Drosophila melanogaster: one gene and its partners. The protein of the gene in region 1 interacts with the protein of each later gene in a pairwise test. Each region holds a gene or a part of one and is shown in the gene's direction. Other genes may lie near its edges.

Region 1 (8,851 bases):
CAACACTGCTAATCATATCGTCTGATCTTTCTCTCATCCGCCAGGCCATCGCCATCGCCTGCATTGTGCTATACGAGACGGTTGGTAACTTGTCCCTCCATCCGGTGATTGTGGCCGGCACCGTTGGTGGCTACACCGTCATCTGCGGCGTTCTGCTGATCGGTGAGTGTTGCCTATATAACTATGGATATCGCGCAGTATCCTTACAAGATGATTCCTGATTCCTTGACAGGTCATGTGCTCAACTCGCTGGTGGAGAAGCGCCTGAACGCCCTATTCTCGCTGATCGGCTGCCTGCTGTTCGTGGCCTCCGGAGCACTGGTGATCGATGAGTGGCACGGCGGACTCCTGAATACCGATAGGAAGCGCCAGGCCATTGGAGCCGGTTCCCTGATGATCATCAATGCGGCTGTCTTCCTTCTGGACACTCTCTGCATCTGCCGGACGTAAAGATTCCGTTTCGTCGTATATGTACTCCATATCCGTTTATTTTTTTTTTTCGCAAATCGAATAACTCGTGTTGATAAGCATAATGAAACAAGAATCTATTGTAAATGTTAACGTAACATTTTTTTTTGTAGCTGTGTGTTACGAGCGTTTTATATGTATTTATACGTGTCTTAAGCTAATCTCAGATATGCGCACGCAGATTATATACAGGAATCCATTAAATATATACACATACACAACATATATGTACATTCCAGCTATCTGTGGTTATAATATGCTAAACTCACAACATCTGACCATGTCTTACATCACCATAATTGCCATTCCGCTGCCGGGATAATGGGCCATAATTGCCAGAGGGCTAAGTTTCTGGGAAAACGAAAAAATGAATAAACTCACGGTCCTGACGTCACGTGCCGGCAACTGTTGCAAAAATCCCAATGGACTGTGTTTCCAATTCGCATTCAAATTCAAATTCCAACTGCGACCCACCATTAAATGGTGGTCAACTCCTTCGCTTTGCCAATCCATGGTTGTAAACTTCTAAGAATCAGGGATTAGCGCTTCAATTAACACCAGATAAACCCTTTGTTTATTTAACTAGAAGTTTTCAATAAGAAGCTTACAACATAAATACTTAACTTATATGCATGTCGCATGCGCATTTAAAAGATATTTCTTTGACTTGTCAAATTTTGCATATAAAAAATTGAGAGTGCTGCGCGTATATGTTGCATCTATTAAAGAGTATTGCCCCCATTCGTTGCTTTTGCCCGTTGCCAACTTTTCTTCGTTCTGCTGCTGTGTTGTTGTCGTGCCACAAGCTTATCATAATTAAGCAATTTATATAATTTGTAATTATTTTTTTTTTATTTTTATCATCCGCATGACAACTCTGTGAAAAAATGTACATAAATATGTGCAGACGGCAGGAGGTGCCCGTTTTGGCGGAGGAGTCGAGGAAAAATAAAGTCGAGATAGATCGCTTTTAGGATGGGCCTGCTAAGAGAGATGCAAAGCATAGAGATACGGAGCCGCTGAGATACAAAGATACAAAGCTACAAAGATACTAAGATACAAAGATACTAAGATACAAAGATTCGGATGCACATACAAAACGCCAAAGACTTGAAACCGCCTTGTGATTTATATATTTACTTTTGTTTATACTTTGTATGTTTCTCTCTATCCCCTTTTTTGTTTTTATGTTGCTATTTACACATTTTTTTCTTTTGTTGTTTAACTAAAAACTTGCGCTAAGTTTACAAGAGGGTTTGTTTGTTTTGTTTTGTTTTTTGCTGGAAATGTAACCTGCTGCCGCTGATTTCTTGTGGCGATTATGGATACACGATAATTGGAGGCAATTACGATCGGATCTGGAGGTTCAAAGTCAGGGTCACAGAGCGCCGAGACTTTGCCATCAAGTCAATCGAGTGGTTGTGTGACCTTCGAAACTACATATTGTACACCCTGTTTTTTTTTTTTTTTTTTTTTTTGGCAAATTCAATCTTACTCGAGATGGCAGGCCAAAAGGAGGAGATCTTGTGCTGTGACTTTGAGGTGCGTGGCAGGGTGCCCAAGGATGCTTTCGAGCTGTTTGCACTGGTCCAGGCCAATGCACTGGGACTGCGGGGATTCATTGCCCAGGTGTCGGAGGAGAAGTTCAAGGGTCGTCTGGAGGGCGAGGGCAAGGTGATCGATGCCTTTAAGAAGCTCATCCTGGCCGCCGCCGATTACGTGCAGGCCATCAAGGAGTTCATTATTAAGAATCTGAAAGTCATCCAGGAATACACCTACAAGACCTTCGAAATCAAGGTGAACCTAAAGTGATTAAAGGATCAAACAAAATAAAATATTTCCAATGCATAATTTTGTTTAAAACGGCTATCAAAAGTTTTATCCATTATGATTTGTCTAATATTTTTGTTGTATGGATATAACAAGGTATTTTCCAAATAAAAATTACACAGTTATATAATCACAAATTCAAAAGAGTTTCCTAAAGAGCTGATTTATACAACAAGCAATTTCCCAAAGAGAAGAACCTGTATGAAAATGCCAAACTTTTCATGGGCTCATTGTGGATTGAATGATTATTGTTGCGATTGCTGGATCTGGGCAATTCTCCAAATGACCCATGGATTCTCACTTACGAGTACTCCATCGTTGGTTCTAGGACCCATTGCGATCGTGACGAATGAGCTAATGATGTCCATGATCCGTGGGAGGGGATAACCTTGTGGCCATCGCCGCCGGCGATCGGATATCAAATCGAATCGCATGCCTCGGATGCATATACTCGTAGTAAGCTAGCGATGTTCCCGGCTGTTTGGCATGCAAATCGAAGAATCTGATCGCCACCTCGATCGACACGATGAAGGTGTACCACTGGACAACAGCGAACATATAGCCACGGATGGTTATTTATGCGTTCGCGGATACAACTGCCGATTCACTGAGTTCCAGACTTCTCAACCAAATAGCACTGGTTAACAGGCCAGTGAGAAGTGGTAGATTTGAAGTTTAGTTTTTCTATATTAAGAAGATCATCTTAGTCGGCTAAGCACAAAACGTTACCATCTCAACACTGCACATCGGGGGGAATTATCAAAGTGTTCTTTTGTAGGCCAGTGTCGTGTATCTGCAGTGATATATGGACAGCTAAACTATCTTGGCTCAAGCAACGTTACAATTTTATGGGTCAATTTGCGGACGGCCATTACTAGAATTTGTGTGTGTGTGTGTGTGTGCAACAGGTAGCCAAGTGTGTTTTACACAGAGGAAATTAAAAAATCCTTGGTATAAAAATCCTTCCTCCTGAGAAATCTTAAGGTTCAAATATATTCCAGTGAAGAAACTAACCAAATATTAAATACTATTAAATTTTAAATACTATACTATTAAATATCAAATACTATTAAATATTTTAAAGAATTATCTGTAAGTAATACAATTTTCTCGCTGTGTATCTATGAATGTAAGCAATGAACCTATATGCGAAAAGCCACAAAATTGAGGGAAATTAACCTAGGCGGCGACTGCGACTTGGACTAATGCGGTTGCCGCGAACATATATGTTTATACATATGTTTGAATCCCAAGTCTGGATCCGAATCGGTATCCAAAATCAGAATTAGCCGCTTAATTGCAGCGCTGTGGCAACGCCAGCAAACCGGAAAGAACGGCGACAATGATTGCCAATCCGATTCGCAAGCAATCAGTGCTGACTGTACGTCATAACACCAATAGAAGCATAATTAGTATAATTATAAGTTATAAAAAGTAAAGAGTATGAGAAACAGCTACTACATTTAGTACACAATACATTGATCTTTTGGAAAATATGCTTATGAAAGTGATTGAATCCTTAGCCAACAAGTTAAATAACTGCATGAATCTCTAAAGTACAAGTTATATTCTTCAATTTTCAAGTAATTCGTACACATAAACGTTTGCAATCGAATGAGAATGTCATTTCGAAGATGACTCTTTTTTTTATAAGCTTTTGAAAAAAGCTAAGCTCTCATCTCTGATCGCCGGCGCGCCGCAGTCGCGTCGCAGTCGCCGTTCGCTGCTTCCAATTCCGACGCTCTGCAGCTCAGTTTGCTTTGAGCGCTGGAACGCGAAAGTCGTCGACGGAGGGCCAACGTTGCGGATGAAAGTTTCGAAGCGAACTGGGAAGATTTTTGAAAAGCGCAGGCGTGCAACGGTTTTTTTTTTTTAGTTTTTCTTTTTTTTTTTTGGGGGGGTTTGGGCTACGCTTCGCGGCGAGCGGTGAATGGCAGCCTTTTTTTCGAGTGTGGTGGCTGAGTGCAATTCAAAACGCATTTCGTGCATAATTTGTGGAATTTTACGCGTTGTAAAATCAATTTCATTGTGCAAATTTGAAAACTTGCCTGCTTTCCGTTGGCTTTCAGCGGCAACAGCTGAAATATAATGCAGCCACATCAAGCGGGCAAGCAATAAACAAATATCAAAAAAAAAAAAAAAACCAAGAAAATTTACAAAATATAAAAACACACACATTTGAAGAGTCAACAACAGCGATTACAAGGCACTAAAAACCAAAGGAAGAGGTGAGCAAATATTTCCATTCATTTGTTATTCTTTCGTTGGGCTTAAAATATTTTCGTATTTTTTTTTTCTTGTTGCTGTCTGATTTTTCGTTTATTTTGGTTTCGCTGATTTTTTTAATTCGAATGGAGTACACAGAAAATAATAGAATATGTTGAAAATTGTAAGATTTAAACATAATAATATATTTATTATGTGGCATTTGAAATTGAAAACGTGCTAAAATCAATTTGAATTCGACCTGCCTAGCTTGATTAGAACAAAGTAGTACATGCTCTTTTCGCACAGTGTGCCTATCCCAGCTGGCTCACACACACACAGGCACACGCACAACCTCTTTAAAGTTGTCGCTGTTGTTGTTGTCCTCATTTATCTGGACTCAAAGAGCTGAAGTTCGGAGTCGCGGACTCAAAAACTCTGAGCCGTCGTCTTCGATTATTGAGCCGTTTGACTTTTTCCCAACTGCCAGCGAACCTGTTGGCCCCACAGGCAAAAAACAAAAACTACAGCGAAAATATATACGAAACTGGTGAAAAAAGTAGATATATATACATATATATATATATATATATGAAAAAAAAAGATGAAAAAGATGCTCTGGTCAGCCTCTAGAAATAAGCAAGTATCTGTCTTTGAGCTCTTTTCTCTTCTCAATCTTTTGCTTTTTTGCTTTTTTTTTACACTCGTAAAGCCCATAAAGTGCCGCATATACTTGACCTATCCGAAACTGCGGGTTCTACCCGGGGGGAATGGATAATGGATAATGGATAATGGATAATGGATAATGGTCGCCGAAGTGGCCGAGTTGCTTACTGGGTTGGGTTGGCCAGTTGCACTTGGCCTTAAATCGCTTTATTTTACCTGGAAAATCTCTAATTCGTTCCGACGGAATTCAGCGATTTTATGTTGAAATGTCAAGTGCAGAAAAATAAAGTGGTTCTAATAAATATGCAAGTGAAATACATAGATCACTAACAATCCCCTAGATACCTCTTAAAAAACGATCTTTATTTTAAATATACTCATATATAAAGTTTATGAATATCCTTAGTGAATGCAGTAAACAGAAGGCAATATAATATGTTTTTGTAAGTGAAATACTACTTATTTAGAATAATATTCTATAATATATTTGACAAAGACCTGATTTTTTGTTCACTGTGCAATCTGCTTTTGGGTTGAGAGCAATTTTCGTTTGGATTTGGCCCCTCCTCGAGGCCCCTTTAAAAATTATTATTATTACTCTGCCGCATCATTATCGCCGCGCTTGAAATCTAATTTCTGCCCCGGCCACAATTTGCCACACGATTTTGTTTAGTTGTGTTATGTTTTGTCTTATTTCATTTTCTTTGTTGCGAGCCCCAAAGGAATTGAAAGTGCGCGCGCATGCGCAATTAAGGCCAAGTGCGCGCAAAAAAATATATATACGAGTAAATTCACAAAAAAACACACAAACGTCAACTGGCAGGAAAAAATGAAAAACAAAAAAAAAAAAAAAAACAAGAAATGAAAAAAAAAATAACATAAAAACAGGGGATCGTCGGCGGAGGAGGCTGAAGGCTAAAGAGCAGAAATTCACTTTTTAGTTTCGTGAAAAAAAAAACACACAACAGAACCCAGAAGAGAGTACCACATACCCCCCATCCAAATAAAAGGAAAGAAAAAAGCCAGTTGGTGAAAATCCAGCGCATACAGGTTATAAAGATTTATGATCACTTTTGATACCGTCCGCCGTCCACTCGGCCTTCCAATGTAGGTGAAGCTCAAGTGAAAGAAGATAACGTGGCTTAGTGCAGATGAAGCTGGCTCGGAGCGACTGGGCCACGAATGTGGCCACAACGCCATATAGCCATATAGCCAGCCAGCTATGCCCACTTAGATTCAGGTCATCAACGCCGGCGGGCCATTGAGAAAATCGCGATTTCTTCGAGGAAATCCAACTGAACAAGAGCATCGATAAATGTATTAATTAATAAGAGTAATGGCAAAACAGTTTAGATTTAATTAAATTGAAGTACAACCTTAGTTTTGGTTAACAGGATAACTACAAACAATATTATTTGGCAAATAATTAAAAGTGTCTCATTAAGGCCTCAATCAACACTTCAGTTTATTGACAATGATTGATGGGCCGAATTGCTTGAGGAATGGGGTCAAAACTATTGATTTAACAACATATTCGTTACATTCATGTTATTTGCTTTTTGGTATAAGTATATATTTTTTTTGTAATTATGTATGCGCAATTAGGTAATATATGTCATAAAGCATAGATAAATGAACCTAACCTTTATTCGAATGAAATATTTTACACCCTCGTTATACAAATATCTATTACTCATAATAAAGGTCACGCTCCTGTTGTTTTATTGCCCGCACAATCTGCTTTTTATATAGCCCCATTTTACACATAGTTATCCATCGTGATTCATTTGATTGAATCGTGTTGCAATCATTATGCATTCAAACAAATAGTTTCCACTTTGTATGCAATAGTTAGCCAATAGATCACTTAATGGCTTCTTAATTGGCAGTTAACGCGAAATTGGCAGCAAAAGTAGATGTGCAAGTGTGTTTTTTTTTTAGATTCAATTCTATCTTGTTCTATCAAAAACTCAAGCAATTTGGAGTTTATTCACATAAATTCACTGAGTGAACTGCGTACTTCATTTGAATATAAAGCGTGTGTTCAGTTTTTTGCTTCACTCATTAGCTGAAATATAAATTATATTAGTTTCAACTGCTATTAAACAACATTTGTTTGCCTCTTCCATCAAACTGTAAATCCTCACTCTTTCACTCACTGCACATTCATTAAGTTGAACTTCTTATCGCATTGCATTTAATTACTCACTTCGCTAACAGATTTTCTCACCATTCATTTGCTGCATTAATTCATGTTTTTGCATTTCCCCCCTTAAAAAAAAATTAAATGTATATACATACGTACATATATCTTGAAAGCGAGAAAGGCAAAAAAAAAAAAAAATAATAATAATAAAAAAAATAACAATTACCAAGGCAGATAACTCATTAATAACTTGCATGGCAAAAGGTATTTTTAATTTTGTTGCCGAGCATTTTTTGTTACGGTTAATGTTGGAATAACTATTCATGAGACTTAAACGGGTTACTGCTGCTCCGCTCGTTGCTTTCTACCAGCCGACAAATGAACAAAACCATACAAAAATATCACAAATACACCCACAGCGTAAAATCCAAATACAAATCCAAATCCAAGACCATCCATCCATCCATCCATCCAACCAACCATTCAACTATCCATCTATAACTTTTGGGGTCTTTCGAGTGTTTTTTGAATGGCCCGTGAATGCGGGCTGCCAAAAATCGAGAAAAAAAAAAACACAAAAAATAACACAAAAAACTAACTCGAAGAATGGTTATTTGGAGCTCTTTCGCTATATATAGCAAACCGAGTCGGCTTTGTAGGCCCAATTGACCTTAAATTATTGCCCTAGCGTTGGCGTAATGTTTCAAAATTCTCGCATAATACATATACTTAAGGTGAATACTTGGGCCCAGCATATTTATTTTGGCTTTTGACCACATTTGGCCAATGGCCAATGAAAAAAAAAAAAAAAAAAAACATGCAAATCGGGTTTTTATGATACATACACTGTGCTGTTGCCTTTCGCGCTTTTTTTTTCGCTCAATTAACCTGCGATATCCGGCCAGAAAGCAACCCGGGCAATTACAAATGCAGAGCAGCTCCAGCTCCACATCCAAGTGGTCGTCATGCCACATGCCACTTGCCACATGCCGCATGCGAGCTTTCACTGATCCAGCCAAGCACAACTGGGCAGTTTGGATCGGACTCTGATCCTAGATCCAAGATCGCACAATAAAAATCCAAAAAAGAAGCAAAAAAAAAAAAAAAGAAAATAAATAAAAATAAAATAAAAAGAAAAACGTGGGCGAACTTTCCCACGTCCAAAGATTGCGGAGCAGCTGCACAGTGCGAAAAAGGGAGGGCAGTAGTATATGAAAAGAAGCTATTTATACATATATATATATATATATATATATATATATATATAATCAAACCGAAAAGCACTTGACGACTTTCTTTGAAATGAAGAAATCTGTTGGGCTGCTAGAAATGCAATGTCTTCTTTCACTTAGTGTGTATTTAAAACAACCAAATGTTTTTTCCTGCACAACAAAGCTTCGTCACGCTCCAATGTGTTGATTTGGAAGAAAAAAAAAAAAAATTAAAAAAACAGCAAATACACAAAAAACCCAGGCAGATACACAAATTTCACAAATATCAATTGATGTGTGGCGGCGGCGTTACTTCAGCATGTTG
Region 2 (6,166 bases), on another chromosome or scaffold:
CAGCTTGCTTTGGTTTTAGTTGAATTACTTATGTGGATTCCCCCTGCTTTCAGATGGCCAGACGGAGGAGCCCCTGCAGCTGCTGGGCGAGGACAGCTGGGAGGAGTTCTCTATCGCGGTGCCCTGGGGAACCGTTGAGGGTGAGTCACCTGCCAGCCGTTTCCTAATCAACAGCATCGACCATTCATGGCAATCCGACGTGATTTTCGATGTGACGCGGCTAAAATATTTTGTTAGTTTCGACGCACTACAAGTGTTCTACTAACTGAGCCCAATAACGCTATCTCTTTGCTTGTTTTTTGAGTAATATTTTTTGGAAACATCACGCGATTCCCCTGAACGATTAACATACACGTGCTGAAACCAAGTTACATACATATGTACTAATCGATTTTCCCGCTTGCAGCCAAGTGGTGGGGCTCGAAGGAGAGGCAGCCCATCATCGCCCTGCACGGCTGGCAGGACAACTGCGGCAGCTTCGACAGGCTGTGCCCCCTGCTACCGGCGGACACCTCCATCCTGGCCATCGATCTGCCCGGGCACGGCAAGTCGTCGCACTATCCGATGGGCATGCAGTACTTCATCTTCTGGGACGGCATATGCCTGATTCGCCGGATAGTCCGCAAGTATAACTGGAAGAACGTCACTCTGCTGGGCCACTCGCTGGGCGGAGCTCTGACCTTCATGTACGCGGCCAGCTTTCCCACGGAGGTGGAGAAGCTGATCAACATCGATATCGCGGGTCCCACGGTGCGCGGCACCCAACGGATGGCGGAGGGCACTGGCAGGGCGCTGGACAAGTTCCTGGACTACGAAACCCTGCCGGAGAGCAAGCAGCCCTGCTACTCGTACGACGAGATGATCAAACTGGTGCTGGACGCGTACGATGGGTCCGTGGATGAGCCTTCGGTTCGTGTGCTCATGAACAGGGGAATGAGGCACAATCCGAGCAAGAATGGCTACCTCTTTGCCAGGGATCTGAGGCTAAAAGTAAGCCTGCTGGGCATGTTCACCGCCGAGCAGACGTTGGCCTACGCACGCCAGATTCGCTGTCGCGTGCTCAACATTCGGGGTATTCCCGGCATGAAGTTCGAGACGCCACAGGTGTATGCGGATGTGATTGCCACGCTGCGGGAGAATGCCGCGAAGGTGGTCTACGTTGAGGTGCCCGGCACCCATCATCTGCACCTGGTCACCCCGGATCGAGTGGCGCCCCACATTATTCGATTCCTGAAGGAGGCGTAAGATTCCATTACTTAAGTAGACGGCTAGATAGAGAGTACTGTGTGTGTATATAGTTAGTGTATTTCATCCCACTTGTGATGTACAGTGATCAAAGGTATGTGCCCGATTTGCACGGCTCTAAATGTTATAACAGATAATAAACACAAATTTATGACTAAACAAGGTAAAGTCTTTTCGTCACAGCTTTGCTACTTGGACTTTGTGCGGCGAGTTAGCTGTTTAGCAAAATATCTTCAAAGTAAATCTTTTAATAGCTACTATTCTCTTTTTAGCAAGTCACAGTTAAAAACACTTTTATTGGAGTGCTAAGCGAGTTTCGTGGTGAAAGCCCTTAATATTTAATTACCCTTATCTGATTGAGACGCAGACCTTTTCTCGACCTTTGAACCAAAGTATTGAAGGTCTCAAAAGATATCTAATGCTATAATCATCGCCTTTAGTCATCAAATTAGACAAAAAGAAACTTTAGGTAGTCGCGCCTAAAGTCGTAATTTGATTAAACAGAGATTAAAACCTGAAGGTGTAAAAACCGAAAAAGGTTCCACCTAGAAAATAAACTTGCGTCTCCTAGATAATGCTGACGTACATACATACATATATCTTCTATGAACAATAGAGCTATATAAAGTGAATATATATCAACTCTACGATAACTCAAATGAAAATTAATTTCGAATAGCAAGACAGTTGACAAAATTGGTTTATTCGAAAATATAATAAATCATGGGGAGATAAACTATCGCATTTTCCTATGTAATTACTTTCGCATTTATTGACTATTCAGATAAAGCTGAAATCTTTACAACCAACTGATATCGAAATAAAGGGTTCTCATTAACACTATGAAAATTGTTATGTTTGGTATGCTTTTTATTTTAGCATGTATCAAATATCTCCTTTCTCTTGTAATTTAAATTTGAAACCAATAAAATTTTTTTGGAGTGTAAAATAGTATTTTTAAATTCCATGTAAAATATCGTTGGCACTTAAGGGTTCATGCTACCGCTATATTTATCTATCTACGTGGCAACTCCATTCGTCTCCAAAAGTTTCCCCACGGCTGGCAACGCCTCGTAACGGTTGCCAAACAAATTACCGTTGCATGGCAACTCGTTTGTTTGGGCTTTTGTTTACAAATTTACAAAATCCGTTTGCAAGGACGCACAATGGACCTCATCAAGGAGATCAACGACAAATACATGGCCCTCGAGGCGGAGATCGACCAGAAACTGGAGAAAGTGTAGGTTGGTCATGGCACTGTGCAAGGATGATGTTACATACATATATTGGACTACATCTCTAGGCAAGCCGAGGAACTAAAACTGGAACGGCAGAACGAGCAGCTGGCCGAGTCTTCAATCTGTGCACCTGCTCCCAAGGTTCTGTCCTACGAAGAGGCTCTCCTGCGAAACACCAACACCTTGAAGGTAAGCCATCTCTTGGGATATCAGAGGTTCATAAGGTTGTTCCCATTCCCATTGCAGGCTCTGGAAATAGCCAAGGCCCGTTTGAGATCGCGTTCCACGTACTCTCCCGTGGAGAAACTCCTTCAACAGGCCCTGCAGAACTACCGACGGGAGCTGGAGAGTCTGCAGGACGCAGAGGATAGGGGCAAGGATCCGAAGAACCCAGACAACCAGGAGGAGGAGGGGGAGGAGGAAAATCTCTATGATCTGGTCATGCAGAATGTGATGGAGGCCAAGAGGCAACAGACCGATCTATAAGACATGTATTTCCCTGGAACTCGAGCAATTCGTGTGGCCACATTTGATCCAGTTGTATATATTGTTCACAAGTGAGACACTGCCAAGCTGAATAAACAAGCCGCAAGTGTACACATTTGCTGGAAATTGAATCGAGAAAGGTAGAATGCGAATGGGAATGCCAAGTGAAATGGGGTGTATGCTCACACATTCTGTTCCCACTTCAAACAATGATCGAAATGGAGCAAACAACGGTTGACGAAATGCAGCCGCAGCGGGCCACCTTGTTGCCATCCCAATCATCTAAGTGCCCCATCGACGACGATGTTCCCACCCTCGACGTTATCACCGCTGGAAGTATTGTGTATCTGCCAAGGCGAGAAGATATCTCCTGCAGTCAGGCAGGCAACATTAGAGCAAACACATTTACCTAATTAGTTGGCCATCTAACCACTTGGACATCGCCAAATCTGAGTGGAGCACGCCGAAAGGAAGCCCAGGCAATCAACTTGGTAATAAATCAATTAATGACACTCCGTCTCGTGCGAACATCAAAGAAAATTATGACTCTCTTGGCATGTTCGCCTTGTCTTCTGATAAAGTCGCCGGCGATAGCGCGGGTGGGTCGAAGGTGTCACTTGTCAGCGGTACAGCCGGGGTCATAGAGATATAAGCGATACTTATAACAGGGATTGTACCATAATCAGCCAAAAACTGTAATGGTGGGATCAACGAGTTTCTTTCTCTTCTAGGCATTAGATCAAATGGTGATCTTGGGCAGCCTATTACCTTACTACATTTCACCACTATCGTAGTGACCTGAGCTGTGAGCTGGCCTGAATGGATGCACCCGACCGGGGGTCGCAGGCAAAGGGAGCGGGCGAGAGCCCTCACCTGTGCGCACCACTACCTGTTCTGATAAGGCCAGCTATTGAGACAAATTGTGGGGCGACAGCTCCGTTTCCACTGGCATTTCCATTTCTATTTCATTTTCTTCTCAGCCCTTCGGCTACGTTGACAGCGGCGTTTAATGGCCAATACAAAGACAGCACGCACGCTCGGATGTGAGTGCTATCTCGGAATATCACCCACTTTCTGCTCCAGTTCAATATTTCATATTTATTTGCTTTCCGTTTCTGTTTTTCGGCTCTCCCGCTCCCGCTCCCACTCCTCTGCTGCTCGTTGCCGAGCTCCTGGCATTCGCACCTGTACAGGTGAGATATGGGCAACCGATCGACGATACTGGGTGTACTTCGTGGGGCCCCGATTCTTGGTCGGGAGCTGGTGTTTTAAACTTCACCGTCAAATCCGACGTTTCAGTTACGTTCCGAGTCGCGACAAGTGCATATTGTGCCGCCCGATCCAACCGATCGGCGGCTAGATATGGAGCACCCAGTGTGGAGGTGGCGGTGCCTACGTGTAGCTACTCCGACATGGAGCCATCCGAAACCCCTTCCGGGCAGCGAATTACTTGGGCCAAGGGAATGCAAACTGTGATCATCCCGAAAGTTTGTTCGTTTGGCTTAAGTTATTTTCATGTCCGACTAAAGCGCCACGTGGTGGAGATCGGATATACAAGGTGGATATGGTGGCCACCTCCCAAGGAAGTTGTCTTTCGGTCTGCTAACAGCTCGAGTGAACTAATGAGTTGGCCACGCTTGGTGATCCCAACTGGGTACGTCAGCAGGTGAGGATCGGGGGTGGGTCTGAACCCCATGAGCAGCGCCTCCTCGAAGGCCCATCGATCTGGAATGATTAGCCTGGCACTGATACCGAGAAGCGACGTGATTCGCTCCGCTCCCAAATAGCAGACGCCGGCTGATTAAATCCGCCGCCATACTCGGCTTCCGTTTGGGTTTCGGAGTCCGACTCCGACTCCGACTCCGAATCCGAATCCGAGTGGAGAACTGCTCTTCGGCTGGGGCTGGGGCTGGGAATCGGATACTCCACTTGGTGCGCTGGCACGGTCGCTCGGGGCCGTAAACCCATTATCACTATATTGGTTGTACGATTTGCGGATCCGTCGCCAGTTGGCCGACTGTAAAATCTGATTTCTGTAGACGTGTCGTCGCTTTGCCCCAACCGATTCGATACGGCTGGGGAAACTGACTTGGGAACGAGATAAGAGCTCTGGGAACTCTGGGAGCACCGAAAGAAAAACATACACAGTGTGCTGATCATTTCGAGGAATTATCTTACCACCCAGAAACTTATTTGATATGTCGATGATTATACGAGCTGATGATTGAAGATATATGAAGTAGGTATATTGAAGGTATCTTTTTTATCTATTTTCTTCCAGTGCAGTGGGGTGGCAAAGGGCTTTGTGGGTAGGGCAAACGTGGCACTCTCTCTATAAGGTAAAAAGGTAGCCGAAGCCAAACTGATAATTGTGCAACGTACACAAACCTTGCTCGCATTGCTCCACTTGCTTTCGGTTTATCAGTTGGAGTGACAAGCGGAAATTAAAGTTGAAATCGACACGATTATTTCATTAGTTCTGTTTGCGAAGGGCCGAACAAGTGGGCGGAGTGATCCGAAAGGTCGGATCCGAAAGGCAGGAGCTGGCAAGGTCACCCGGATGTTTATATTCGGCAGTCTAGTTGCCGATTGACGGATTGATTGTCAGTGGCCATAACTAACCAATTAGCGATTGCCATTCGTAGCAGGCAAAGCCAGGCACATCTTCGGATGGTTGGGTCGGGTGGGTCACCAGCTGGCCCGGGTGCTCCAAGGTGAAACGCAGCCAGAAATAAGTGCGCCCAGCCAAGTCGAGTTAAGCTGAAGACTTGGACCCAATTCGATCAGGTGCAAGCGACAGAAACAGCGAAGATGGCATAGACAAACAGAGGCCACGTTTTCGTTGGGGGAGTACAGTGAAGCCTCCAAGCAGGACCCCTCCTTTCGAAGAGATCTTAGATCTTAGATCTTGATCTTAGAAATAGTTCGATTAAGGCTAATAGAAATCAAAGCTCTGGCTGAGATCTGGGATCGGATGGATGGACTGGTCGCCTTTAAGGACCTTCCACTGTTCGAGGGCACGAGTGGAGCCCTGGGAAGATGTCATTGGTTTGGACGTGGACGAAAGCGAAAGGTGTAGACGGAGACAGAACTTCAGCGAATATGCCAAGGTACGTCAGGAGAAATGAATTACCCGGACTGGAGTCGTAGCTAGTTGGAAGGGGGATGTCTCGAGGAGGGGCTGGCAAAGTGCTCCA
Region 3 (8,863 bases), on another chromosome or scaffold:
AGTAAAATAAAAGAATCTAAATGAGTTGCTAAGTGTGATTAGGTAGAAGAAATGTACCTGGTGCATGGTAATGCAGTTCTGCGGATCCATCGATAGCTTCTCCAGTGCCATGGCCGTGCTGCGGTGCACCAAGGGATTGTCGCTGGTCATGTAGGTGACAATCGGAGTGACAGTACGCAGACGTCCCAGTTCCTCCGTATTATTACCGAAGCAGGCACAGGCGGCCACGGCAGCTGCCAAGTTCATTCGAAGGAGGTCGTCGGTGGTCTGGACGAGATCGGCTAGCTTGTAGATGACTTTCAGATCGGTTAAGATGGCTAGATTGGTTTGATCCTGGGCAATTGTTGCAATGGCAGCACAAACGGCGGATAAGACCATGATATCCTTGGACTTTAGCAGACCCACCACCAGTTCCATGGCGCCAACCAAGCTCCTGACCAATTCAGCGGAATCGTTGGCATTTCGAACACAGGGACATATGGCGTAAGCCGCATGGGCCTGAACCCTAGTTGTGGGGTTCTTCAATAGCGACCATATCAGCCTGACCGCATCCAGATCCTCAAGGATTCTCATGCTGTCCGGATCTTCGGCACACTCCTTCAATCCCTTGGCTAAATTTTCCAGAAGAGGGGCGTGAGAACTGTTGAGTAGGGAAACCATTGCTGGTAATCCTCCAGCCTGACGCAGTTGCTCCCTATTGCTTTGAAATCTCACACATTCAGATATAGCTCCGGTCACGTTGGTCAGGACCTCGTCACACTCATCATTTAGCAAGGCCACCAGGTGGTTCACCGTCCTGAGTTGATCCAGCACTTTGACATTTGCATCGGTTACGGCACACATCCAAATCGCTCCAGTGGCGCCTCTCAATAAAGGCTTATTTTCCCTCACATTCTTGTCCTTTATGATAGTTACCAAAGGTTCCAAGCCCCCAGCCTCCCTCACCAAATCCCTGGTGGTTCCGTCGAAGGCGCACTTGTAGATCGCTGTACTGCCCTCCATCTTCAGCTCGGTATTTTCGGAACTCAGATGGCTCACAATGTCGGGAATCATGCCCTCGGTGGTGATGGCCAGTTGGAACTTCGGCTCCGAGGAGCACTTTCGAACGGTGCCCATTATGGGAATGACGACATCGATGTGACAGGACTTAAGGAGCTGAGCCATCAAAGGAACAATTCCGCTCTTGCGCATCTGCTCCATGTTGTGCTTGGAATCGGCCAGAGTGAAAAGAGCCCGGGCTCCAGCGCGTGTCATATCGAGAGATTCCAGATCATCTGGACTCAATTGGTCACGAGGCGTCTTTAGAATGCTATAATATAATTAGGTTTTTTTTTAATTATTTCTTATATGTGGTGATGTAGTATGAAGCACTTTATCCAATGCCAACTCACCTCAACTTGATGTCGATGAGATCCACCAGCTTGGGGATTCCTCCGCAGGTGCGCACATACTTTCTGGCCAGTCGCACCTTGCACACATTGGCCAATGTCTCGGCGGCCATGGTTTTTAGGTCCTTCATGGAAGAGTTTAGGATGTCCACAATGAGGGGAATGCCATCCAGATCTACGATGGTCTTCCTAATATCGATGTTCAGTGTGATATCTGAGAGAACTTTGAGGGCGCCCAAACAGCACTTGGTGTCGCTGCACTCCAGGATGTTAACCAAGACATCGAGTCCGCCGATGTCCGAGATGGCGAACTGATTGATCTGGGTGCTCAGATCGTAGTCCTTCAAGCAGCACAACGATACTATAGTGGCTGTCTGATTGCCCGCCTTGATGTATTTCACCAGTTTTTGGATATTATAATAGTCAGCCGGAATCTCAGCGGCTCGCGCCACTTCCTTCCAGCGTTCCTCCTCATCCGTAGACGATTCCACCTCCGTGGTATCCGAGTCCTCGGCGGCCACCTGGCGCTTATCCTTTGAGAATCTGTTGGGACAGGATCCGCACTGTTCTTTCTTCTTTCGACTCCGATTGTGGGACGTTCCGCTGCTAGTGCCAATCATCCTTTCGCGTTGGATTACTCACAGATTTGGCCAATCGTATTCCGGAAATATCTGTCGGTATGCCAGCTTTCTTCAGTTTTGTATCGGAATTTATTGTGTTTTTGTGTGGGAGAACTTTATTAGGCCAGGCAATTGATTTAATAAGGCGTGTTGCTAAGGTAACTGAGATAATTTCAAAAATACCGGGCTAGGGCAAAGGTATCTTAGCTCAAACTTGTAAGTTTTTTTTTATTTTAATAAATTTTTAACTACAGCTATCCAAGGCATTTAAAATTTATTTTATTCGCTTGGCCTTCGTTGAATTCGCTTAGCGGTTAAAATTAACCGTTTAGCAAATACATCGACCTGACTTAGCACAGACAATAACCATTCATAGTGCAGACGACCACCGCGAAATTTACCCGTTTCCGAAACTATCGAGGGTATCGCAGGGAAATCGACTGCCATTCCATCACCAGCTTGTGTTGTTTGTTTTTTATTTTCAATTAAAATCCGCGATCATCCGCAGCTGCAGCTGCATTGTTTGTTTACCAGCCGTCGTAGCACCAGCCAACTGAATTTCGTGTCCTGAGATGGGAAATGCGAGTGGCAAGCGGGAGACGGATAATCTCTACAATTCGGAAGAGCTACGCATGCTGGAATCCGCGTACAAAAACGCCTCTGGCGGAGCACTTGAGAAGTTGACCCAAGACAGATTGGTGGTAAGTCAAGTAAATCCAGTTACCGTGCCACGTGTGCACTGCGAAAATCAATGGCAACTGCATTCTGCATTTGCGGAAGGGTCAGGGTCACAAGTTCAAGGACGCGCGGAGTGAACTTTCTTCGGCAAAAAAAGAGAAATCGGGACTTTCGAGTGCATGACAAACGGCCGTCCATCCACCTGCTGCGATGGCCACCCTTCACTTGAATGGGTATATCCTTTAGGGCATTAATTTGTTGTTGTCACTAACTCCTATTTCGAGGATTAAACATTGAAGTTAATCATAGTACTATGTTCCGAAAAAGAAGCTTAGTTATATAAGAGAGTGAGTCGCAACATTATCCGGCATTATACAAAAGTTCAAAGTTTCTAAACCTTATTTTAATACAGTTCTTTTTCGATTTAAAGTGCAAACCAGGAAATTTAACAGAGTTTATAAAAAGTAAATTATTCAACTTGTTTAAAAATGTAATTTTCTAAACTAGTCAGTCCTATTTAGATTAAATGTACACGTAACTTTCCAAAATTGTTATTTTAACCCATTTAGTTAAATCAATCTGATCATACACAATTTATGCTATAATTTTTCCGATGCGGGTTCAAGGCCCCAGATTTGTGTTTTATTTTTATCACAGCACAGATGACGGAAATGCAACCACTCAAAAAATGTTTGTTTGTAACCAGATGATGATTTTTCCTTATAATATTTCCATCTATTTATAGCTCGTGTTTGATTATCACAGCGCTTCCTAGGGTATAGCAAAATTCGATATCTTCAACTCGGGCGTTATCAGTTTCGAATTGATAATTCCTGGGCCAGTGCGAACGTGTCCATAATTTGTCTAATTTGTTTGCTGCCGCATTTCACTGTTTGTCTTTTGCTTTGTTGAATTTGCTTGCTAACGAATTAGTCGTGATTTCAATGACTGGGGTCGTCAATTAGGGCCAAACCCAATTGAATTAAAAATAAACCATATGCTTAACCCGTTTACAGCATGGCATGTGAAATAGTTGATTTTTAGAATGAGGAAATTATAAGACTTGCATTCATATAGAGTAATTTAAGCGGAAACTCTCTAAATTGAAACTTTACATACATTGAAGTAGTATTTATTTTCATAAAACTTGAGAGACTTTGTTTTCAGTCAAACCAAATTATTATTCATTGTACGTCCTTCAATGGGTTAATCTGTGTCAGCGCTTCCCAGACCTTCGTTCCCTGCAAGAATTTGCTGACAGCAGCGGGAAAATTATGTTTACGTATCCGGCGCGCATTTTGTTTATGTACACACATATACATGTATCTGTTGTTTTGTTTCGAAAATAGGAAACTTGGTCGCAAACCATCGAAAGATCCCTGGCCGAAAGTACGGCTCAGTATCTATTTACGCCCACGAAGCCAGGTCAGCAATGTGTCAACCTTCAGCTGAAGAAATTTGGAGAGCCCTACTACATCATGGAACGCGGTACTATTGACCAGAAAATGCAAATGCTCCTGGGCTCAATGGAGAGAAGTGGAAATGACACCTTCAACAGCAAGCAATTGGAGCAAGTGAGTCTATAAATAAGTAGTCATTGTCATCAGATCGCGGAAATAATATTTATAACTTCTGTCAGCCGAGCCTCATTAGGATTCATAACATGTTTGTTATTGAATTAGGTTTAGCTCTCCATTTATGTTTATCCTGAAAACTAGATTTCCACGTTTATTTTCTTAGCTGTCATATGAACAACTTGTTTATTTAATTCTTTTATCTTTTGCTCGCGAATTAATCAATTTTATAATTCCCCAGTATATCTACTCGGTGATCAAGAGCTACGTGCACTTGGAAAGTACAGCGAAAAACTCTGGCATCAAGGAGTGGCACGATCTTGGCTTTAACACCACGGAAAGGTCCGCCGCCACATTTGCCAAGGGCCTTATGAGAAATCTGGGCAAGGAGCTAGAGCACACTATGCCCAACGATGCCCTGGAACGTTGGTTACACGTCACTCCGCAGTTTTTGCAGATTTGGCGCGAGGTCTTTAGCCAGCTGTATTGTCGCCATGGTGGCAGCAAACGCAACATAATCAAGGAAATGGAAATTCCAATTCTGCCAGCACTGTGTGGTAGGACAAAGAAAATTTTTAAATTTATTAAAATCGTTTATAACTTTTTTCCTATTTTCCAGATGCTCCGCAAAATAGTCATTATCGCCCTATCATCGAACTACCTCACGTCCTGTATATCAATGCTCAGCTGCCCCGCGAACATCGGCACAAATGGCGCTTTCTATTCTCATCGAAAATCAACGGGGAAAGCTTCTCGACGATGTTGGGAAAAGTGCTGGACAAAGGACCAACGCTGTTCTTTATTGAGGACGAGGATCAATATATATTTGGCGGCTACGCGTCCGAAACGTGGTCCGTGAAACCGCAATTTGGAGGCGATGACAGCTCATTGCTCTACACCTTAAGCCCTGCCATGCGGTGCTTTTCGGCCACAACTTATAACAATCACTATCAGTATTTGAATTTGAATCAGCAGACTATGCCGAATGGCCTGGTGAGTAATGTTTATAGCTAATTGATTGATTGCTTTGCTAAATGTTTATATTTTTCGTATACAGGGCATGGGCGGTCAGTTTGATTTTTGGGGCCTTTGGATTGACTGCAGTTTCGGCGATGGACAAAGCGTTGAAAGTTGCACTACATATCGAGACTACGTGCAGTTGAGGTGAGTGTAAATTAAAATCTTGATTATGTTTCACCTTACAGACCACTAGATTCTATATTTTAATTCAACATTATTTTAAACAATTGTGGTTAATCTACCAATTATTTATCGTACCCAAGTAAACGGAAACAGTTCAAAATACGAAACATGGAAGTTTGGGCCGTAGGAGACTTACCAGTTAAAGAAGAAGACGAAGAAGGCGACGGTCACGTATGTCAAATTAAACTCAATATTATATTAAATAAATAATCATATCTTTAACCCATAGAAACGTTCTGTGCTGGATGGCAATTTGGAAGATCGGGCCATGTTGGAAATTGCGGGCAAGAAAATGCACTCGGATGGATTGCGTGAGCCCAACATGGATGATTGATATTATGTGAAACTATTTAAGGAAAAAGTTTTGTTTTATCATCGAGAATTTGTGAGACCATGCCCGATATGGGTGTGCAGTTAATGATTCAATTCAGTTTCCTTAGCTTTTTTGCAATCCCTATCGAACACACAAAAAAAGTCCTGCGAACAAAAGAGTATTTGTTCAATCCATTCCTATAAACGTTTTTGTTTAGGTATTAATGTTTATATATACAATGTATAATGGATATAGTTTATGAAATACTGAGAGTATTGTTGTTGCGTTTTAGATCTTAAAGTGAGAAAAGTAAATCATTTAAATGATGTAACAAAGAAGCAAGCATAATAAGCAATGTTAATTCGTCGAATTTTTCCCATTTTTATCCTACGTCAATAAAATGCAAATTAATTGCTGAATTTATATCAATGTCTTTAAAGTTAAATGTTTGAGTATGCCAAGGTAGCATTTACCTACAAATAACCTAAATAATTAAGTGGTTTATAGAGATAGAAAAATGAAATGCGGTAAGAAAAAAGTGAAAATTTAAATAACGATTTATCCCAAGACATTTTATTTATTCCATTGTGTGAAACGTTTTTGAGAAAGTGATGAAGAAAACTTCAATCATTATTTTGGAATTTTAGGTGGGTTTTAGCTAAATTGTCTTATGGTTTGCATAACAATTAATTTTAATATTTTTACTCTTAATCACTAGTTTTAGATATCGACGGCATAGCCTGAAAGAGTGATTCCAGGTGCAATCTCCTCTTCTACATAGGATCCTGCCTCCTCGAAGGATCTAGCATTGCTATCTTCGAAGCTGCGACCCACGCTGGCTGGAGATTGTCTCAAGGTCGGAGCCCTCTGCTGCTGGCCAAACTTCCTAGACACACCATAGTTTCCCGATGATGAATTATAGCCCTCATCGTCTTGGTACCGGCGACCTGTCGAGCGTAGCTTGGGCGGCTGGAACGTGTGTTGGTCACCACTGTCCGATCCGCGGCGATTGTTAAAGTCATAGGTGTTGGTCTCGGATCCCCTCGGATAGTTAGTCTTGCGCAGCATAGCCTTGAAGTTGAATGGTGGATCCTCAGAGTTCTGGAAAGAAAATATCTGAAGAATTTCCTTAGGAAATTGACATACACTTACATCACCCTCGTTGCGAGCCATGTTCTGAAGTTCTCTAACTGGATCCGACGGAGGATACGAGGATCTTTGCTGATAGTTGCGTTGCTGCTGGTTCGGATTATTGCGATAATAGTTGGATGAGGGCATTGGTGGAGGAGGAGGTGGAGGCGCCGCATAGCCCTTCAAGGAGTTGCGCCTGGATCCGGATCGATGTACGCCCCAGTTCTGGTTGTTATAGTTGCTGTTATAGCTGTTGTAGGCATTGTTATAGGCATTCATGTTCATCTGCATTTGATTTCTGAAAAAAAGTGTTAGAAACTTAAGTTCAACCTTTGAGTATCTTTGCTAACCTCCTCAGCTGTTGGGGATCTCGGAAGTAGCCCTGATTGTAGATATTGTCGCTCTCGCCCATGCGATCCCAGTTGGTCTGGCAAGCCTGCTCCTTCTTATAGGCATTGTAGGTCAGGGCACAAGAAGTCATCGAAGGATTGCGTTGCAGAGGGCTGTCCCAAGGCTCATCGTCCTCCATGTGCTGCGTTAGTAGCTGATTGGGGAAGGCTTGGCGGGAAATGGAATTGGCCGGGTCCACCATATACTGGGTGTCATAGAAGGGTATCTGATCCAGGCGGAATGGCATCTTTTTTATGGGCACTGGCAGTGGTCCTAGCTGCGAGGAGTTCACTTCGCGCATATTGATCCTCTCGAAGGGCACAGCCCGAGTACATTTATTCAAGCCAGCCACCATTCGTTGGTTGTAGATGTGGACCTGGTACATAATATAATATATATATATATATATATTGGATTTGAAGATAAGAGATTTGAACTCACCTGCTGTGAGAGATTGACAAAGTCCTGGAAGCGAGCCGCGCGGTAGTGCAGGAGGACCTGGAAGATAGACTTCTCGCGCCATTTCTTGGCAAACGGACGGATAAAGTCGGCGGTGTTCTCGTTTAGTTGGCCGGACTTCTCGTTGACCAGCGGAGGGAGGCGGACGCGGTCGCGGAATCCCCTGAAGGCTGTGGGAAAATGGAAACGGAGGAAGGCCGTTAGAGTAACCCATTTGAAAAGCGGTCGCGGCGGTGGACGGTGGTGGTGAATGAGAGGGAAGTCACCTTAATTTAATTAAATTTTCATTTCTTTTCTACGCAGCACTTATAATTCATCTCTTTTCGCAGGGGCCGTCGATGTTAAGTGTTATGTCTCAGACAGCTATAAGCCGATTGGTTGCATCAGATGGAGAACACAACCGCCCAGCGGGATGGGGTGGGATGGTATCCACATTGGACACCACTAAGCGGCTTAAGTGGTTTGCCGAGGCCCTAGACTAGATGATAGCTGGTTGTTTGCGTTTTCTACATTTTATTGGTAGTCGTATTACGATTAGTATCGATCGATATAGTGATATAGTGTGTATAAATGGTATATAGTAGGGGCCTATTCCTCGGCGGAGGCCTGCTCGATTTTGGCTATTCGCACCGCTGCCAGAGCCTCATCCATTCTGGCCTCGAGGAACATCTCCTCCGCCTCCGAGGGCGTCTCGCTTATGTCGATGTGCTCCTCGTCGTACTCTCTTAGCCTATCCACCTGCGTTTTTTTACCTTTTTGTATTTTGGACGCGGCCACATCATGATGCTCCGGTCCCTTTTTGCCCACTAATAGGGAATTTAAAATTAGATTTCATACCATATACTGTATAAGTATTATTTATATCTTACATTTGAAAACTTTGCCGCCCTTAACTCGTTTCCGTGCTAGCAAAGCTCGCATCATGGACTGCACTTTGATGACCTTCTTCACCTGCAGCTCATACAATCTGAAAGCAATTGATAGTACTTGCTTTTCTCAATGCGTATGAATTGATAGCTCACCTGGCTAAGAACTCATCGTTATAGTAGCGCAAAAACACCTTGGTCTTGCCCAAGGCCCAGCCTTCCATCTTGAGGCGCAAGAATA

Evidence for each region. The genes of interacting proteins can lie anywhere in the genome.
Region 2: the proteins of CG15365 (region 1) and CG13949 interact in a two-hybrid assay, tested with the Drosophila melanogaster proteins (one large-scale study listed by BioGRID).
Region 3: the proteins of CG15365 (region 1) and CG5149 interact in a two-hybrid assay, tested with the Drosophila melanogaster proteins (one large-scale study listed by BioGRID).

The regions. Positions count from the first base shown.
Region 1 is NC_004354.4:9,063,183-9,072,033, reverse strand, and holds the start of CG15365 (uncharacterized protein), read left to right. Parts: upstream 1-4,050; 5' UTR 4,051-4,526; intron 4,527-8,851. Other genes in the region: CG44325 (uncharacterized protein), read left to right, coding at 45-162, 233-446, 1,376-1,442; CG10970 (uncharacterized protein), read left to right, coding at 1,969-2,280.
Region 2 is NT_033779.5:853,139-859,304, forward strand, and holds CG13949 (uncharacterized protein), read left to right. Parts: upstream 1-2,332; 5' UTR 2,333-2,411; coding exon 2,412-2,485; intron 2,486-2,548; coding exon 2,549-2,672; intron 2,673-2,729; coding exon 2,730-2,969; 3' UTR 2,970-3,501; downstream 3,502-6,166. Other genes in the region: kraken, read left to right, coding at 54-140, 407-1,245.
Region 3 is NT_033779.5:7,381,821-7,390,683, reverse strand, and holds CG5149 (uncharacterized protein), read left to right. Parts: upstream 1-2,430; 5' UTR 2,431-2,580; coding exon 2,581-2,709; intron 2,710-4,035; coding exon 4,036-4,260; intron 4,261-4,501; coding exon 4,502-4,817; intron 4,818-4,879; coding exon 4,880-5,253; intron 5,254-5,317; coding exon 5,318-5,424; intron 5,425-5,543; coding exon 5,544-5,634; intron 5,635-5,692; coding exon 5,693-5,797; 3' UTR 5,798-6,198; downstream 6,199-8,863. Other genes in the region: gudu, read right to left, coding at 58-1,309, 1,392-2,008; ninaC (neither inactivation nor afterpotential C), read right to left, coding at 6,497-6,877, 6,929-7,205, 7,258-7,673, 7,739-7,926, 8,509-8,562, 8,626-8,723, 8,779-8,863.